Lonchura striata: one gene and its partner. The protein of the gene in region 1 interacts with the protein of each later gene in a pairwise test. Links are inferred from orthologs where the notes say so. Each region holds a gene or a part of one and is shown on either strand. Other genes may lie near its edges.

The links.
Region 2: the proteins of DBNL (region 1) and SH3BP2 interact in binary tests that used the Homo sapiens proteins (3 or more experiments, as listed by UniProt). The link is inferred for Lonchura striata from reciprocal best matches to the Homo sapiens genes DBNL and SH3BP2.

The regions. Positions count from the first base shown.
Region 1 is NC_134634.1:5,292,002-5,295,907, forward strand, and holds the start of DBNL (drebrin-like protein), read left to right. Parts: upstream 1-995; 5' UTR 996-1,033; coding exon 1,034-1,116; intron 1,117-1,485; coding exon 1,486-1,541; intron 1,542-3,208; coding exon 3,209-3,321; intron 3,322-3,906. UniProt on the Homo sapiens protein: Adapter protein that binds F-actin and DNM1, and thereby plays a role in receptor-mediated endocytosis.
Region 2 is NC_134606.1:9,292,254-9,296,159, forward strand, and holds the start of SH3BP2 (SH3 domain-binding protein 2), read left to right. Parts: upstream 1-1,612; 5' UTR 1,613-1,732; coding exon 1,733-1,842; intron 1,843-3,906. UniProt on the Homo sapiens protein: Binds differentially to the SH3 domains of certain proteins of signal transduction pathways. Binds to phosphatidylinositols; linking the hemopoietic tyrosine kinase fes to the cytoplasmic membrane in a phosphorylation dependent mechanism.

The DNA of each region.
Region 1 (3,906 bases):
ATTTTGATAACTGGGGCTGAAACTGAGACGCATTTACAGCCCCAAAAAGCCCCGGTACCCTCCGACATCCCCGCTGTGCCCCTCCTCAGGCTGGGAAATGGGGGAAACCCCGAAAAAGGCGATTTTCTGCCCCCGGGGCCGCGGGAGCGCTGCGCGGGCTGCGGGCGGTGCTGCCGGGGCTGCGCTGCCGCAGAGAACCCCGAGAACCGGGGCGGCTGTCCCGGGACAGCGCGGGATGGGGTCCCCGAGAACCGGGACAAGGCGGGATGGGGTCCCCGAGAACCGGGACAAGGCGGGATGGGGTCCCCGAGAACCGGGACAGCGCGGGATGGGGTCCCCGAGAACCGGAGCTGCGGGACCCCGCTGGGCGGGGGTCTCCCAGAATCGAACCGGGCCGGGTACCCCGGACCGCCCCGGGGCAGAGGAGCCCCGGGAGCCCCGGGAGCCCCGGGGATGGGGGTCCGCAGGGACCCCGCAAGGGGCGGGGCCTGTCTGTTGGGGGGTCTCCCTGCCGGGGTTTTTGGGGGCGGGCTCTGCAATTTGGGGGGATTCTCGCGCTCGGGGGCGTGGTCTAGCCTCACGGGGGCGTGGCCTGTGAAATTAGGGGCGGGGTCTATGGGCCGTGGGCGTGGCCTGGTGGGGCGGGGCTGCACGGGGCGGGGCCGGTACCGGGGGCGGGGCCGAGGGCGGTACCGGGGGCGGTGCCGGGGGCGGTGCCGGTATCACGGCGGGGCGGTACCGGGGGCGGTACCGGGGGCGGTGCCGGTATCACGGCGGGGCGGTACCGGGGGCGGTACCGGGGGCGGTGCCGGTACACGGCGGGGCGGTACCGGGGGCGGTGCCGGTATCACCCCGGGGCGGTACCGGGGGCGGGGCCGGGGGCGGGGCCGGGGGCGGGGCCGGTACACGGCGGGGCGGTACCGGGGGCGGTACCGGGGGCGGTACCGGTATCACGGCGGGGCGGTGCCGGTATCACCCCGGGGCGGTACCGGGGGCGGTGCCGGTAGCACCGGCGGGCGGAGCGGGCGCGGCCATGGCGCTGAACCTGGCCAAGAACGGGCGGGCGCTGCAGGAGGCCTACGGGAGCGTGGTGGCGGCGGGCAGCCGCACGGACTGGTGCGGGACCGGCACCGGCACCGGGACCGGCACCGGCACCGGGACCGGCACCGGGGATGGGTGGGGATGGGTGGGGGTGGGGGCCGGGACGGGCTCGGGGATGTGGGTGGCGGGTGGGGGATGGGGGTGCGGGGCCATGCGAGGGGGTGGGGAGGGGATGGGGATGGGCGGGGGGGGAGGGCAGGTATGGGCCGGTGGGTCTGGGGGACACGGGGGGATTTGGGGACGGGGTTGGGGGGCTCAGGGGGTCCCCGGGCTGGGGGTGGCGGGTCCCTCTGGGGCTCTGCCCCTCGGGAGGCGCCAGGGGTGTGGGAACACCCCAGATAAGCGCTGTGCTGGCCAAAAATCCCATTTCTGCCTTCATTTTAGGGCTCTCTTCACCTACGAAGGCAACAGCAATGACCTGCGAGTGGCTGGCTCTGGAGGTGAGGATTTTGGGGACCATCCCCCATTTCCAGGTGTCTGGGGCCTGAGATGTCGGGGGGTTTAATCCCCGGGGGTGTTTTGGGGTGCCCATGCTGCTGGGACAGGGCTGGGAGCTGTGTCGGGGTGTCCAGTGGGATTTCAGAGTGAGGGACCTGGAGCAGAGCCTCAGTGCCAGCTCTGCTTCCCCTTTCCTTTCGTTTGCCTCCCTTCCAGGGGATGCAAAGTTTGGATCTTGGCCCCTCTTTGCACCCCTCAAGTATTTTAGATCCCGGATTTAGGCAGGGCCACGTGGTCCTCCAAAGCCACTCACTCATCCAGGCCTCCCTACTCGGTGCTCCTAAATCCCCTCATGTCCAGTTCCCTTCTTCCTGCAGTTCTGTTTTATTTTTTTCATTTTATTTTGTTTTTGTCTGATTCCCACCCAAGCCCCGCTGGCTGTGAAGCCGAAGCCTCCGGGCAGCAGCACCAGGCTGGTTTCCCCACGCTTGGCATTTGCATCTTCTCATCCCTCCCCAGCTTCTCCTGTGATTTCCAAGTGCTTTTCCCAGCCTGTGGAAGTTTCTGGGATGTCCCACAGGTGGAGCCCACGGAGCCAGGGCTTTGGTGCTGGGGAATTCTGTTGAGGAGGACTCTTGTCAAATCCCAGATGGGGTTTTGGGGAATTTTGGGGAGTTTTGGGGAGCTGCAGAGAGCATGCCCCGAGCTCCCCCCAGCCAGCGCTCACCAACCAGCTTCAGACTTCCAACCTTCAACTTCCCTGCCGGGTTTGGAGCCAAATTTAGAGCCAAATCATAAATATTTAATAGGGAGAAGGAAGTGATCGGGTGATGCTGCAGAGCGGAGTGAGCTGTGTTGGTCTCTTTGCTCCTGCCAGGGCTGACAGGGACCAGTGGCTCTTTTCCCACTTTTCAGGGCTCAGCCAGCCCAGCACAGGAGGAACTGTGGTCTGGGGGAATATTTTTGAGATGAGAGTCTGCATTTTTGATGGTTTTCCTCCTTTCCTGGTAGTTATGGATGTAGTGGGGGCAATGCTGGTCCCTTTCCATCGCCCCTGCCTGAGCCCTGTGTGGGATTTTCCCTCTGGGGTTCACTCCCAGGTGCTCAAACCAGCACTGAGACCACTCTAGGTGGGTGTAACAGGGAGGGAGGCGTCGAGGCAGGAGTTTCCCCGTGCTGCCCTGGCAGGACCTTGCCCCGTGCTGCCCTTTTGGTTCCTTCTCTACTTGCAAAGCAGGAACAAGGCTCAGCCAGTTCCTCCGCCACTCCCAGCCCCATTGCCCCGCTCACAGAGGTGCTTCTGAGCCGGGCTTTGTGCAGGAACCTGTGGGCAAAGCTGGCAGCTGCCTGCTCTCATTAAAGCTTCTAATTGACTGAGCGTGAGCAGCTCCTTCCCCTTCTCTCTCAGGCCTGAGATCCAGGATCGGCCCGTGTGGGGTTTGCAAAGGCCCGAGGAAGAGGAGCTGGGTGATGAAGGCTGCTGGGGGTGGCAGTGGGCGAGCAGAGGCGGGGGCTTGGCTCCCACGGGTGGTAAATGCTCAGGCCGTGTTTGCAGAGCAAGCACGGGCTCCGAGCCCCTGGTGAGCCACATCCAGCAGAGCTGGGACGGGGCTGGCTGCTCCCCGCACGCCCGGGGGGCTGCACTCACCCCTCTCCTTCCCCCGGGCAGACGGGGGGCTGCAGGAGATGGTGGAGGAGCTCAACAGCGGGAAGGTGATGTACGGCTTCTGCCGCGTGAAGGATCCCAACTCGGGGCTGCCCAAATACGTCCTGGTCAACTGGGTGAGTGGGGACAGCCCTCGGGGCAGCTGGGGCCAGCCTGGGGAGGACACGGCTCCGGGGACGCCTCCGAGCCCCTTGCAGAGCTCCAGGGGCCCGGGTGAGCTGGGGAGGGGTCCGGGTGAGCTGGGGAGGGGCTCGGGTGAGCTTGGGAGGGGTCCAGGTGAGCTGGGGAAGGGCTCAGGTGAGCTGGGGAGGGGTCCGGGTGAGCTGGGGAAGGGCTCAGGTGAGCTGGGGAGGGGCTCAGGTGAGCTGGGGAGGGGCTCAGGTGAGCTGGGGAGGGGTCCAGGTGAGCTGGGGAGGGGCTCAGGTGAGCTGGGGAGGGGTCCAGGTGAGCTGGGGAAGGGCTCAGGTGAGCTGGGGAAGGGCTCGGGTGAGCTGGGGAAGGGCTCAGGTGAGCTGGGGAGGGGCTCAGGTGAGCTGGGGAAGGGCTCAGGTGAGCTTGGGGAGGGGCCCAGGCTCACATGCAGGTGCTGCAGCCCGAGGGGCTCAGGTGAGCTGGGGAGGGGCCCAGGTGAGCTTGGGGAGGGGCCCAGGCTCACATGCAGGTGCTGCAGCCCTCAGTGCACCCCGAGGGGCCCAGGTGAG
Region 2 (3,906 bases), on another chromosome or scaffold:
TTCGAACTTGAAATGAAAAATTCTGCTTCATTTCTGAGTACTAAAATTAGGAAAGAGAGAGAGTACAGCATGAGAAAGGTGAGAGGGGAAAAGCAGTACCTCAGGAACATGTGTTGGATGAAGAGGCATGGTTTAATGAGAATGTTGAGGCCAAAGAGTGTGGTAGTAGAAGTCGTGGAGTTTGGAGGGGAAAACCAGGAGTTAGGTGTGTCATATCAGAAAAGGGAAAGAGGAACTGAAGTATTTTTTCCAGTATTGCATATACTCAAGTGCTGTCATTCTAAATCTATTTTTTTTTTTACTAAATTGGAGAAACAGCTTGCAAAGATGCTAATGCAGACTCAGAAGAGTATACTTAGATAAAAGAGAACTCAGGGAGGAAAGATAGATTTAGAGCAGTGGGCCTTAAATGAGTAACGGATACTGTAACAAATAAAGCAAGTGAATTAATTCACAAAGCACTGAGATTAGTCCTCTGTAATTACTTTCTGTGTGAAAAATCTGTCAAGCCACTGAGACAACTGGGTATTGATCCTTATTGCAGAGCACTGGGATCTTTTGTTCTGATATGCAGATCCTTTTGGCTAACAGCAGGTGTGTGGTATTTATGGTTCAGTTTCCCTTCCTATAGAGCCTGGCAATGGAAGGAGTGCAAATGGGTGCCCTATGGTGGGAGAGCTGGTTTTTCTAGCCCATACAGCCGTGAGCAGTTTCTGAAATGTTACTTTCTTTTGTGCTTTGACTGTTGGGTCATTTACAAAAAGAGATGTTGTATGGAGACTTCTTCCTTCTATTTTGGGATACAGATTTATGGCTATTTCCTCCAAAATATGTGAAGTAAGCTTTTCTTGACATACTTATAGATGTTTTGACCATAATTCAGAAACTTGCTAGTTGATTTTGTCGTGCTCAAACTTTTGAGCCTGGAATGTTGTTTCAATCTAGACAAGTTAGTGAAACACTTGAATCCTTTTAAGAACGCCAGATGAAAGTAATTGTAAATCAATTACATTTATTCATTATCGGTTGGCGATACTTGTGAGCAATTGTGCACTGTCAACCTCTTGAATTTGAATTTTATTGCCTTTTGTGGTTTGTGTACCATCAACCATACCGGCCAGACTTGTTCTAAAGCATATTCATGCTGCAGAATTTTTCAGGATGGCTGTTTTGATTGTCTTGGGTTGAAGAGGGAAGGAGAAGCTCCAGCTGTGGGGAAGAAAACAGGTTAAATACTTACAGTTCTGTGGTGCAGTGCAAGTAGCTGAGGCACAGGCTCTTCAGGAGCACGGGCAGCATTTCTGAGCCGTGTCTCTGCCAGAGTGGGAGCTCCAGCACACTGGGAGAAAAAAGGACGACTTTCTTCTTCTCCCATAGGAAAGTGATTGATTGAAAGGTGCGTAGGAAGAAAGTGAGCACTGGAAAATCCCCTCTGCTTTCTAGCACGATGTCTGCCGGGCGTTGGAGCTGTGCGGGAATTGATTTATAACCTGTCTGGGAAGCTGGGAGATCTGACAGAGATAGCGCTGCCCGCAGCCAGTGGGGGGAACAGGAAGTAACAAAGGAAACAAGTCATTGCCTGGCGTCACTTTTGGCCACAGTGCACTGCAGATGCACAAGCAGCTGGGGCAGGCTTTCTTCTCCTTTTGTGTGTTGAGCAGACGGCAGCTGCAGCTGTGGCTTTCAACCTGGGAGTACCCAAACGCGGGAGAGGTGCAGGGATGTTCCTGCCATGCCTGAGAGGGGTCATAAGTTGTTAATGGCTTTGTCATCACAAAGGAAACAATCATTCGCTGAAACTGTCTGCAGAAGAACTATGTGTCGGTCGGACAAGGTCACCAGGTTAGTGCTTCTTGTGGCTTGTGTTTGTCATCTTTTCTCCTTCAGGTCGAGAGCAGACTGCAGCTAAGAGTGGGACATGGTATCTGAGCTAAAATACTTGAACTCCTGCAGAAAATTCAATGATAAAGGATTGGAGTGGGAAGAGATGAGTTGGGTGTTGGTTGAAAACTTGTCAGAAAAGAAAAGCAAGTTGAAGCAAGTTAAAGAGAGTGAATTTAGTTATACGCCGTATCTCAGTTGGGCTTATTTCTCTGTTCCCTTTGTCTTGTAAGATCTTGTTTTTACTTCAGTGTTTGTACTGTGCTATTAATCTTTCTGAGAGAGTATTGTGAAAGGGGCTGTTAGAGGTATTAAGAAATGGAATGTGTAACCAGAAAAAGTAGGTGAGATATAGAAGAGTATTTTAGAAGTACTGGAGAATAGTTAATAAATTTACAAGAGCAAATTTACAATCTGATAATTCTGCAGAAAGCAGTATTAAGAACAGATGGTACATGTTTAGATGATTGAAACAGAAATTATTCTAACTGAGAATTGCTGAGAGCGTGTAGGGGAAACTTTTCCTGTTCTGCACTGTGTAATGCTGCCTCATTTTTGGTAAAGCCTGATACTTCAGTCTCCCTCTGCATAATTTAGCTATGTTTTGCTTCCACTAAAAATTTAAGGACTAGAGGTTATGAGATTACAGTTGTAAAAGTTCTCAGTAATTGGCATAGAGAGCGTTGTTACAAATTCAGGCTGGTTTTTTGTTTTTTCCAGCATGACCAAACAGGGCCAGATCATAAATATTATTGTAATATGTGATAACTTTTAAAACAACTATTGGCAGCTGTAATCTCAGAAGAGGGTAATATTTTTTTTGCCTATATACTGCAAGATGTGGAGATAATCACATCTGCCATATATTCTGCTGAAGTTAAGCAAGATCTGAGGACTTTTCCAGGATGCAATCCTTAATTGAATCAACTTGTATTTGCTCTAATTGGGCTGAACTCCAATAACTCTTAAGGCCAAGAGGGATAAGTGTTCTTCTACAATGTAATCCAGATTTTTCATGTGGCAGAATTTTACTTTTACTCGTGGAGGGCCTTTCAGCCTGTAAAGTTATACCCTAGCCTTCCTTCTAGCTATTCTCTATCTATTGAGCGAGCAGTTAGATTAAAATTGCCTCACAGATATAGATCTTTACCTGCTACACAATAACAGAAGTCTGCTATCCATTCAGAGTTTGAACTTGGTGGCAGTACTATGTTTCAGTACTATGTTTCACTTCTGTATCTGACTGGCCCTATCCTGGTTACGAGATGAAGTGTGTGAATTCACTTTTTTTCCTGCTGTTTAACTTTCAGGGTACTTTGAAATAAAAGCTGGCTCATTGTGATAGTGTTTGAGAAAAGTATGCTGATGTGATAGACTTGGGGTGACTTTGATACATTAGCAATACACTGCAAATTGTTTTAGTTTTCAGTCTGGTAGACCAGTTTGTATATAAGAAGCAGTTACAATAATGATTATAAAAGCTCTGTATCATGCTCCAGGGTGCTGATTGCACCGTTCTGTCTTTCCAAAAGCACTCTTGAATGATGAAGCACATCCTAGAAACTGCTGTTCTACTATTTCTCCTGCTACACTGCAAGGCCTTTCATCTCCCGCATAGGCATATAATTGTCACAGGGATCACCTGAGAAACAGTGATGCAAGACCTTTCCGTGACTGCTGCGGTCCTCTTCTTGTTCAGAGGGTTCCATTCAGTGGGGGAGAAAATTAATTCAGTAGCCACATGCAGTGGGTTTGGGACTTGGTGGAAAAACTGGTTAAAAATATGTATCTAATTCCTTGGTGAGTGGGAAGAGGAATAAAGTGTGTATCTATTACTAGAAGCTTTCACCAAATAATGCATGGGATGTTGCCCTCTGTTTGTGACGGAGAACCAGTGTCAGGAGGAGCTTTGGCTGCACTGGGAGCCCTTTCTGTTAACTTGGGTTTCAGCCCTGTGGAAGAGTCTCTCTGATGCACCAGAGGTGAAAATGTGTGATGGGGGCTTTGTCTCGTAGTGTAAGAATG